3 linked regions of the Caenorhabditis elegans genome follow. The protein of the gene in region 3 binds, or shares a complex with, the protein of the main gene of each other region. Each region holds a gene or a part of one and is shown on either strand. Other genes may lie near its edges.

Region 1 (3,305 bases), on a different chromosome or scaffold from region 3:
AATTAGAGCTCCAGCTGTGTACCTGACTTCCGCAGTGCTCAAAGCTTTAATCTTTATAAAACATATGTTTTTCCATCCAATTCATGGGTATATTTAGAATTCTAAATGTTAACATAACAAGTTTTCTTCAAACCCTAAACTCTTCAACATCGCATTTATTTCCAGAGGCTCGAAGGCGCATTGGAGAAAAACTTCAAAAAAGTACGAACAGTTGAAGATGTCACAACTACATTTATGGACTTCTTTGGAACTCAAAGAAGCCGTGTAAGACAACAATTAATTGAACGACTGAAATCAATGCGAAAAGCCATCGAACATTCATCATTCTTCAATTCACATGAAGTCGTCGGAAGCAGTATTCTGATTGTTTTTGATACGGAAAAAGTGGGATGCTGGATGATTGACTTTGCAAAGAGTTCACCGGTTCCTAATGGACGAACACTAAACCATCGGACGACGTGGATACCTGGGAATAATGAAGATGGGTATTTGATAGGAATCGATAATTTAGTCAAGGTAAGCTTGGTTTTCTTAGAATTTTTTATTTAAATATTATTAATGTAGCACCTTACTATTAAACTCAGTTGCCTTTTGTCCTATACAAAAATTGTTAACGGAAAAATATTGGAAAGTGTTTCATATTGTTTTAAAATTTTTTAAAGCAAAAATAAAGTAGTGGGATTTAATACTATTAGAGAATATTCGGTAACTAATATAGATAAGAGGTGCGGAAAATCAATTTATATATTTTCAAATTCTTGACACTATATTTATTTTTCTTTTGAATTTGAGTTTATTTAACTAAAAGAAGAGAAATAAACAAATAAAACGAGACGAACCCTAAAAGAGTTCAACTCGAGTAAAAGTTACATAAAAAAAGAAAGAAAAGATAATAGGGAACAGGTGAAACGGGGAGAAAAACGAGAATGGAGGTAAAAGTGTAGTTATAACCGGGGGATGTTGAGATCAATAAATTCACAGAACTGATATGGGGACATAAAAACCGTAACATTTTTGAATAAATTGGAAAAAATATTGGAAAGTGTTTCATATTGTTTTAAAATTTTTTAAAGCAAAAATAAAGTAGTGGGATTTAATACTATTAGAGAATATTCGGTAACTAATATAGATAAGAGGTGCGGAAAATCAATTTATATATTTTCAAATTCTTGACACTATATTTATTTTTCTTCTCATAAATTTTAAATGTTACCAAGTAGTTGAATTATAATTCAAATATTTTCAGATTCTCGAAGAACTCCCCGAGTACGGAGAACATCCTGATGACCAGTTAATGGTCACAGAGGAAGTGATTGCCAGAATGAAAAATACGAAATCGTAGAAGCTTCTACCTCCTTGGATTACTGTAGATAGATGAAAGTGTGTGTCTCTTCATATTCCGCCATAATAATTTCTGTGATTCCCCACCGCTCCTCCACAAAATCCTCATCCGTGTACAATTTGCTATTATTCAATTTTACACCCCCTCCAGCCAGTCCTTGTTTTTGTTGGTTTTTTGAAAAAGAAAATAGATTTTTTGAAAAAGAAAATAGATTTTCACTTTTTAATCTATCGCTTTCCCCTTCTCTTTTCCTTTACCATGGCATAATCCCTAGACTTTCTTCTTACTTTCAGTTGTTTTTTTTGTTCCATTGTGTACGATCCGAGTAATGGATTAATTGATTGGGTACAATTTGTATATTTTTATTCTCAAATGAAGAGAAATTTTTGAAATGTCCAGTTGCAATTTAGATCCAAACAACAATCTATTGAAGTCTTTGCTTTAAAAGCTAGAGCAGGTGCAATTGTTCCCAGTGCATATCGGCCGATTGCCTAGTGAAAAGTACTAGGCAAAACAAAAAACTTATGGCAATTATTTGGGGATTAAAAGAAAATTGTTCAGAAACAAGAATCTATGAAATTTGGTATGCAGCAGAACAAACGTTTTCGAATTTCACAAAAGAGTGGACAATTGGTGCTCTTATTCAAAATTTCAAAGAGACTTCAAAAAAGCTTTCTTATATCATTTTTTAGGTTTTCATTCAGAAATGTTTTTCTATTGTAGATAATGTACAACACTGACTATAAAAAGTACAATGTTGATATTTTTCATCCAGCTCATTTTGAAGATATTCAGGAAGGTTAGTCAATCTGAATTCAATAATTAATTTTTGAATAAATAATAATATTTCAATAAATAATTTTTGAAAATTTTTTCAGAATCTGCAGATTGTGGGCCAAATGTGCAAGAGGTTCGGCAATTTCTGGAGTCAAATCGACTTGAATATGCTCTTCAATCCGTTCTCTTAAACCCACCATTTGGTCATTCTGAACAGGTTTTATTTTTTAATGTCATTTTGCAAACCTCTTTCCCTTTTAGGAACTCAAGAACCGTGCTGTTCTCCTTGTGGCCGAGGTTATTCATGCATTTCGACAGACCGATATTGAAGAATCAGTTCACAAGCTGTCAAATGAAAATGGAGACATTCTGATGAAGTATATTTACAAAGCAATGCAACTATGCTCTGATTCTGCCACGTGTCTTTCTCTACTATTGTGGCATTCTCAATTGGTATCAAAATTTGGGCAGGGATCCATTGTTCGAGTGTTGTCCAATCGACAACGTCTCTAATTTTTTAATGAAGGTACATGTATCTGTTAATTTCTGCAATAAAACTCCAAGATCCAAAGTTTTTTATATGAAGAAGTTCAAATTTACAACAACCAAATATATTAGGAAATAAATAAAATGATTCAAGAAAAAATGAAGATTATCCAGAAGTGCAGAATCCGCAAGTGAGTGGGCATTGAGCTCTCATAAGGGTTGCGTAGGCAGAATTGGTACAGAATGCACGACGGTTTGGACAATCGGAGACTCCTGTAGCTGCGTTGACTTGGTCAACACAGGTGGCTGAAAAGTTCAGACATGGAACGTTATGAACAATTATTAATCTTACTTGAAGCTGTTGTGGAGGAAGATGAAGTTACGGTAGAGCTTGAGTTACATCTTCCACAAGTTCTTGGGCATTGTTGAGTCATGACGGCATAGTAGACTGAATCATTGCACAAAGAAGCTCGTGCAGTACAATCAGAAACTCCGGTGGATGGGTTTACAAGATCGGCACAGCTAGTGGAGCTTGTGGTAGTTGAGTTACAACGACCGCATGTTCTTGGACATTGTTGAGTCATGACTGTGTAGTAGGTGGTGTCGTTGCAAAGATAGGCAAGTGCTGGACAATCAGAGACCCCGGTAGATGGATTGAGGCGATCAGCACACGAAGTTGTAGAGGTTGAGGTTACTGTAA
Region 2 (4,717 bases), on a different chromosome or scaffold from region 3:
TTATGATTGCATGCTGGTCTATTTTATTTGAATAAATCATGATTTTTTTACTTTTTTTCATTTATCTTTGGGGTAAGAAAATGTTCTCTAAATCAGTAATTTACATGGAGAAATTTGCTCGAAAAAATTCAAAAAAAATACAGTAAGAAAATTGTCGTAAAGTCTAGGGTTTTGGTATTGCGGACTACGACAAAATGCACACAAACCATTTTGGCACCGGAAAAAGGCAAAAGCCAGGATTTTATCGCGTTTTGGCTCATTTTTCTTGCAAATTTCCATGGAATTCAGTTAACATATACCTAATTATTCAGTTATTTCGAATTAATCAATAATTTTCAGTGAATTTCGCAATTTCTAAGTGGTCCAATGATGTCTGTCCACATATTTCCTTGAAAACTGATTGTTTTATCGGAATTTATTGATTTAAAATAATATATATAATAAAATCTGAATTTTAGAATCATTTTTGACGTGGAAAAGACCCGAAAAATCCAAAAATCACGAATAAACTGAACAATTAAGGTATTAATTTTTGATCCCCCACCCCCAGTTTCTCAGTTTCTCAGCAAAGGATTAAAACAATTGTTCTTCTTCTTTTCCCCCTACAAGAATTTCCTGTGAATTTCAATCGTAAAAATATCGATTTTCTGTTTATTCTTTGGATGAGTCACCGCACTCGCCGATTGTTTAACTAGTGCAGTTCGGCAGTTTTACGTTATTTTTTCACGATTTTTTGGATTCTGATCCTCTAGGTGACTTGAAAATACCGAATTTCATATCGTAATATGACAGAAAAATTTATGGCGGTAAAAAAATGCGGAAAAATTTTCTAATTTTAACGGAAAACTCCAAAAAGCCGTTGGAAAATGATTTTTATTTGATATTGGCATATTTAAATAATTTTTATCCTGTTTTTTAGTGGATTTGGATATTTTAACCCGATAGTTATGTATAACGGCTTAAAAATTGCCAAAATCAGCGAAAAAACGCGAGAAAAATCACTTAAATATGGAAAATAGAACAATAATCAAATAAACCCGATTATCCAAGCCAAAACTGAGTTTTTTTTTTCGCATTTTTGAACTTCAAAATTTCGAAAAAATGGGCTATTTTTAACGAAAATCCCCAATTTTGCAATTTTTTCGTGTCACAGCCGTCGGAAATTGATTTTTATTTGATTTTTGACACATTTGAGTGATTTTATCCTTTTTTTTTCGTGGATTTAGGTACTTTTAGCCGATAGTTACGTATTGCTAAAATACTGGCTTAATAAGTAGCTAAATCGACGAAAAAATATGTTTTAAAAAACCAAAAATGGCAAAATTTTACGATTTTTGCTAAATCTTTTTTTTTTTTGAAATTTTAAATCGTCATAAAATTATTTAGCTAAATTTTTGTTAAACATTTCAGCGAAAAACTCCATTTTTGCCAATTTTTTGTGTCACAGCGGTTGAAAATTGCGTTAATTTAGGTATATTTGAAGCCAAAAAAGGAACAAAATTAATTTATTTGCAAAATTATCAATTTCCGGCTTAAAAACGCTCCAAGATTGGAGATTTCAGCGGAAATTAGCCCATTTTTTCGAATTTCTAAACCGCTAGACTGAAATTCCGTCTTTTTCTCCCATTTAAAACAAAAAAAATCCCAAATTTTTTGCAGCAAGCATGTCGGCCCATCAACTACCGGCATGTGTGATCGACAATGGAACGGGTTATACGAAGCTCGGATATGCTGGGAACACGGAACCTCAGTTTATTATTCCATCTGGTTAGATTTATTGATTTTCAGCCTATTTTTCATAAAATCCAGTGAATTTTCCAGCAATTGCCGTGAAGGACAAGGTGGCGAGCTCGAATTCGCAGGCGATGCGCTGGAATAACCGAGTCGGAGCCGGGATAGACGATCTTGATTTCTTTATTGGAGATGAAGCTTTGTCGCCGGCCGCTACGAATTATACTGTCAAAGTTCGTAGTTAATAGACCATATTTATGCTCCTGATGTCAAATATCAATGTGAAATTTTTTTTTTTAATTCCCAGATTTTATATAATTTTTTAAAATCCAAAAATCCTAATTTTAAATTTAAACGACAAAATTTTGCATGATAACCGTGCCGCAGGTGTGGATTTACGAGATTAATATTTTTAATTCATTTTTATTTAATTTTCACACCGATTTTCCCGTTTTTTCGTTGTTATACATTGAAATTCTTGGGATTTTCATAAATTTATTCATAAATTTACTTTTTATTAATGAAAACAAATTAAATTACAAGAAATATCGAACTTTTGCTGAAAAAATCGAATATTTCACGTATTTTTGTTGTTTTCATTAATAAAAAGTCATAAATTAATGGAAATCATGATAATTTTAATGTAAAACAAGGAAAAATCGGGAAAATCGGTGTGAAAATTAAATAAAAATGAATGAAAAATATTAGTCTCGTAAATCCACACATGCGGCACGGTTATCATGCAAAATTTGTCGTTTCTGAATTTAACATTTTGGACTTTTGGATTAAAAAAAATATAATTTTTTATAAAATCGGGAATTTTATTTTTTGAATTTTTCACATTGATATTAGGTATCAGGAGCATATGGAAAAAATGTTTAAAATTAAAATTAAATTTTTTAGTATCCAATTCGGCATGGAATCGTCGAAGACTGGGATCTTATGGAACGATACTGGGAGCAGTGCATTTTCAAATACTTGAGAGCCGAGCCAGAGGATCATTTCTTCCTTTTGGTACGGGAGAGAAGCAGAAAATTCGGGAAAAAATGCTCTGGAACAATATTTTGGCCACTTTTAAAAGAAAAGGGGGTCGAAAATCCGTTTTTTTAATAGAAAATATCCTGTAAAATGGATGTAAATCGGTGAAAAGCTATATATTACAGAAAAAACACGTGAAAAGTGATAAATTTCGATGAAAAAAGCTTAAAAATCACGAAATTTTGCAATTTTTGACTCTAAAATTACGGTATCCGGTCTTGACAGGACAATTTTTTTGGAAATAAAGCATGTGATACCAATTTAAAAAATACGTAAAAATTTTGAAAAAAACGGGAGAAAAATCAAGGAATTTCCCCCGAAAACTCCGGTATTTTTAAGCTTTATTAATTAAAATTAATTAAATGAAAAATCTACATTTTTTCAAAAAAATAGCAAAAAAAATTTTTTTTCGTATTAAAATCCTAATTTTATAGGAAAAGCTGTTTTTTTGAAGATATGGCTTTAATTTTCTATTTAAAAAATCGTTTTTTTTTTCTGGAAATTTACAAAATTTTGTTTCTAATTTTTTTTAAAGTAAGGGTCCCGCCACGATCTACCTGAGCTTCAACTTTCAGGCTTAAAGTTGGTGTAGTCGAATTTTTTTTTTGCTTTATTAGAATCAAAATTGTCTAAAAACACCGAATTTCATAATGAAACTTCTTGAAAAAAAACAGTTATGACGGTTCAAAAAATCGGCTAAAATTAGTTAAAATTTGAAATTTGGCCTTTTGAAATTACCGTCAAATTTTAGATATATAAGTTTATTATCGTGCGTTTTCAACTCGATTTAGGTATTTTAAAGTCGGTGGACTTGGAGATTTGGTAATAAAAATTTAAAAATCTCCAAGTCCACCGGCTTTAAAATACCTAAATCGAGTTGAAAACGCACAATAATCAACTTATATATCTAAAATTTGACGGTAATTTCAAAAGGCCAAATTTCAAATTTTAACTGTTTTAGGCCATTTTTTTGGAGCCGCCATAACTTTTTTTTTGAGAAGTTTTCAATTCATTATGAAATTCGGTGTTTTCAGACAATTTTTGAGTCTAATAAAGCAATTTTTTTTTTAAAAATCGACTACACCACCTTTAAATAGCGAATATTAGGCAGTTTTCCACGAAAAAATTTGAAAATTTCCAGACGGAACCACCACTCAACACTCCGGAAAACCGAGAATATACTGCTGAAATTATGTTCGAGTCGTTCAACGTGCCAGGCTTGTACATAGCCGTTCAGGCCGTCCTAGCGTTGACTGCCAGCTGGAATTCCAGAGAAGCCAACGAGCGAAGCTTGACTGGATTGGTAGGAAATTTTTTCGCTTTTGAGAAAAAAAAATTTTTATTATTTTATTTGTCACTTATTAAATAGCCAAAAATGCAAATTAATACCAGCAAAAACATGAAAAATATAATGAAAAACGACAATTTACACATTCCCGACAATGATGGATACTTGTTCCCGTCTACTTCGGCTTCTCCTGCAACTGCAAAAAAATCGAATTGCTCCTCACCATCAAGCGCTCCGAATCCCAAAATATCCTCATCGAAACTCGAAACCTCGCGGAGCAACACAGGCAGCTCTTGCAGCCAGAAACTTCCAGTTTTCCGTGGATCTTGCTCCAAATGCGTCAGAAATAGATGCCAAATTTGGCGGAATCTCTCCTTTTCGGCTTGTCGGCGGTTCGCATTTTCTAGCTGCTCATGATCTTCGGCTTCAGCGTGGAAAGCGGTTCTGAGTGCTTCTTCGTCGATTTTCGGGATGTACGCAGAAATTGCCATGTCGAGTAGAGAGTGTGGGAGACTGAGAGGGACAGGGAGAGATGACGTGGATTCTGGTGTACCGACGACGATCGATAATGTTTTCGAGGTACCTGTGTACCATCTGCCGTCTCTGCTAGCAATTGCATAACACGCAAGAAAAACGCCAAAAATAATGTATAACGTATTT
Region 3 (3,165 bases):
GCGGCTTCGGCTCCGGTAGTAGTAGTTTACATATCAGGATTTTCAACACTTTTGTATTCCGACACTATTCCACTGGAAAATTCACTTATTGTGCATTTTTGGCAAAATTCTACAAGTTTCAAGGGAGACGCGCTTATACAAAAGGGTCTCGCCGCGGGAATCGTATTTATTAAAGATACTTGGTTTAAATGTCTTCTTACGTTAACAGAAGATTATTTTTAATATGTTTTTCTCGCGGCGAGACCCCTACACACATATGCTCTGTCCTTTGAACTTAAATGTTACTCTTTTCGTTTCAATACCAAATGCGCAATAAATCCCGCATTGAAGCATAGCGTTCTCCCATTACTTCTGCTCCCATTTCAGTTATTTTTTATGCCAATCTTGAAATTATTGCGTGCTCAAACGAAAATCAAACAAGCACTTACTTTGAACGATTTACTTATCGAAGGAATACCACAGAAAATCGTAGGATAAGATTATGAAAATTTGCACTGAAGTTCATGGGTGTGGGAAAACGAGGGAAATTATAACACTTAAAGAAGAAAAGGGCTGCTCAAAAATTGTGAGAAAAATACATAAATTTTGGAAAATGAATTTTGCAATTTATGGAAAAATTAAACGGATTGAAGAATGCTTCTGGTGATTTCTTGAATGTAGATATCCGAGCTGGTGAGCTTCTTCTCATCAGTAGAGGACGGCTTCAAAACAGCTTTCTTGGTCGGTGCATTCTCCTTGTCCTCCTCTTCGAAAACTTTCTCCGGTGAATTGACAATTGGATTTTTTGCGAGATAGTTCTGAAACATAACCAGGTTCTCATAAAATCTCAAAGTTTCATTTTTTAAGGAAAACATTAAGAGTTGTGTTAATATCAGTGCTTTGATTAAAAGTTCGAATAGTCTAAATAATTACCTCCACAAATTCCTTTTTCGAATTCAAGTTCCGGTCGTGAACGACAAAGAAGACATCAGAATCGTTTTTGACAGTCTCTGGCTCAGTGGCTTGAATAGTGTACCCCTTTTCTGGAAGACAACTATGTTATTATGATTCAAAAATGCTTGAAAACATTTACCGAGAACTCCGAAGCGCTCATTCAATGTGATTCGTTTATTTGTCGCAGTTTTGTACTTGTTTTCCAGAATCGACGCCACTTTGTTGCTGTGCTCACGGTCAGCTAAAGGAATAACTTGATATTGGATGGCAGTAGTCATTCTGAAAGGTTTAAATTTTTAAATTTTACTGAAAACGCAAAATATTTTGCAAAATGGGAAAGTGGAATGATTGAAAATCAGAAAATTAATTTTAAAATTGACAATTTTTAAAAGAATGGATGATAAATTTGTCTTCGCGCGCTACTCGAAACAAAAAGTGCAGCGGAGCGTGTTTGCATTACTTTCAAAACGACGCAAATAATGATTCATTTTCGGATTATCGACTCCAATTTTACGATTTTCGCCGGTATTTCATGTTTTATTTTGTTCCATGCAATCTTTTTTCACTTCTAAATAATGTCTCAAACTGTTTCGTCAATAAAAAAATCAATAAGCATGCGCATTGCAGGTAATGAGCGCAACACTCCAACCATATCTGGAGGCCGTGCGTCACACGCTCCAGGCAGCTCTCTGTCTTGAGCAATTCAGTTCGCAGGTGGTCGAGAGACACAACAAACCAGAAGTAAGATTTATAACAGTAAAATGACTTGCAAAGTGTGAAGATTGAATAATTTAAATCAGTCCGCCGCCAATTGCAATAGTTTTTCGCTCAAAAACTATTTAAATGTATTATTCTATTTGTATATTATAATAAAATTGTAGGTGGAAGTTCAAACATCGAAAGAACTGCTCATGACGCCAGTTGTTGTTGCTCGAAACAAACAGGAACGAGTACTCATCGAACCCTCCGTCAATTCTGTCAGAATATCAATCGCCATCAAACAATCCGACGAAATCGAGAAGATTCTGTGCCACAAGTTCACTCGATTCATGTGCCAAAGAGCCGATAACTTCTTTGTGCTCCGTCGCAAGCCACTGCCAGGTCAGAATTAATACTAATATTCAGAGATTAAAGCGATAATTTTAGGTTATGACATCTCGTTCCTCATCACAGCATCTCACACAGAAGCAATGTTCAAGCACAAACTTGTCGACTTTTTGCTTCATTTTATGCAGGAAATTGATAAGGTGAACATTTTAAGTTAATTTTTAAAAAATTCCATAAATTTCCAGGAAATTTCCGAGATGAAGCTGTCTCTCAACGCCCGTGCCCGTGTTTCTGCTGAAGAATTTTTGAAGCGTTTCAATTAATTTTCTCCCCATGATTCCCAATTCATTTTTCTCATTTTCACTCAAATTCCGAAGACTTTAAACTATTATGTGAACACGGTTTTTTGATCAATTTGTGTAAATATCATCTTTATTCTCAATTTTTTCACTTTTTGTTTCTGAAAATGACTCCCCTCCCAAAAATTTCCTGTTTTAGGTCCTATTTTGCCTTTTTGATTATCGATTTTTTTTACCGCACACTGACTTTATGAATTATTTATTCAATTTTTGCAATATGTATGATCTGAAATATCTCGTGAAACATTTACGAGCTTTAATATTTTAAAATGATTATTAAGTTGGAAATTGACAAATCAATTTCAGAAATGAAGTCTATTCTACTTTTATTCTCCCTGATAGTGCTCGGCAGTGCAACAGAAGAAGTGAGCAGAACTGAGCAAACATCGACATTATTCTCCGTCGAAGGCGAGGTTCGTATACCAAAAATGTTTGATTTTTGGATTAAAAATATCGATCATTTTGGCTATATTCATAGAGAAGTCATATTATAAATTAAGACAACGTTTATATGCTTCTGAATACTTTTTCCAGTTCTCACATTTTTTAAAATTTTATCTTCTAGGTTCCTATTCTAATAACAACAAATTCGTTGTAAATTAAATATTTCATAGTCCTCAAAAAAAAAATTTCAGATCGCACTTCCATCTACTCGAAATTGTGCAAAATGGTCCGCAGGTGCTCGTATTCATTTGAACCATGGCCAATATATGGGATTTGTTCGTCAAGATTGTACATTCCGTGTTGATTTCGTGCCTACTGGAACCTATATTGTTCAAATCGAAAATACAGATTTTGTCTTTGAGCCAATTCGCGTTGATATCAC

Evidence for each region.
Region 1: arx-6 (region 3) and C46H11.3 share a complex: the UniProt entries of both Caenorhabditis elegans proteins name them as parts of the arp2/3 complex.
Region 2: arx-6 (region 3) and arx-1 share a complex: the UniProt entries of both Caenorhabditis elegans proteins name them as parts of the arp2/3 complex.

Annotation. Positions count from the first base shown.
Region 1 is NC_003279.8:5,039,424-5,042,728, forward strand, and holds C46H11.3 (putative actin-related protein 2/3 complex subunit 5), read left to right. Parts: upstream 1-1,946; 5' UTR 1,947-2,068; coding exon 2,069-2,141; intron 2,142-2,220; coding exon 2,221-2,336; intron 2,337-2,380; coding exon 2,381-2,632; 3' UTR 2,633-2,669; downstream 2,670-3,305. Other genes in the region: lfe-2 (Inositol-trisphosphate 3-kinase homolog), read left to right, coding at 166-516, 1,247-1,342; C46H11.7 (ShKT domain-containing protein), read right to left, coding at 2,772-2,911, 2,958-3,305. UniProt on the Caenorhabditis elegans protein: Functions as a component of the Arp2/3 complex which is involved in regulation of actin polymerization and together with an activating nucleation-promoting factor (NPF) mediates the formation of branched actin networks.
Region 2 is NC_003279.8:2,890,661-2,895,377, reverse strand, and holds the start of arx-1 (Actin-related protein 3), read left to right. Parts: upstream 1-1,659; 5' UTR 1,660-1,664; coding exon 1,665-1,767; intron 1,768-1,821; coding exon 1,822-1,964; intron 1,965-2,634; coding exon 2,635-2,745; intron 2,746-3,910; coding exon 3,911-4,072; intron 4,073-4,116; coding exon of another isoform or gene 4,117-4,717. Other genes in the region: Y71F9AL.6 (Protein PBN1), read right to left, coding at 4,117-4,717. UniProt on the Caenorhabditis elegans protein: Functions as ATP-binding component of the Arp2/3 complex which is involved in regulation of actin polymerization and together with an activating nucleation-promoting factor (NPF) mediates the formation of branched actin networks.
Region 3 is NC_003281.10:4,877,100-4,880,264, forward strand, and holds arx-6 (putative actin-related protein 2/3 complex subunit 4), read left to right. Parts: upstream 1-1,558; 5' UTR 1,559-1,563; coding exon 1,564-1,674; intron 1,675-1,814; coding exon 1,815-2,034; intron 2,035-2,079; coding exon 2,080-2,180; intron 2,181-2,225; coding exon 2,226-2,303; 3' UTR 2,304-2,544; downstream 2,545-3,165. Other genes in the region: Protein tost-1, read right to left, coding at 618-797, 913-1,022, 1,073-1,211; C35D10.1 (ER membrane protein complex subunit 7 homolog), read left to right, coding at 2,648-2,752, 2,975-3,165. UniProt on the Caenorhabditis elegans protein: Functions as actin-binding component of the Arp2/3 complex which is involved in regulation of actin polymerization and together with an activating nucleation-promoting factor (NPF) mediates the formation of branched actin networks.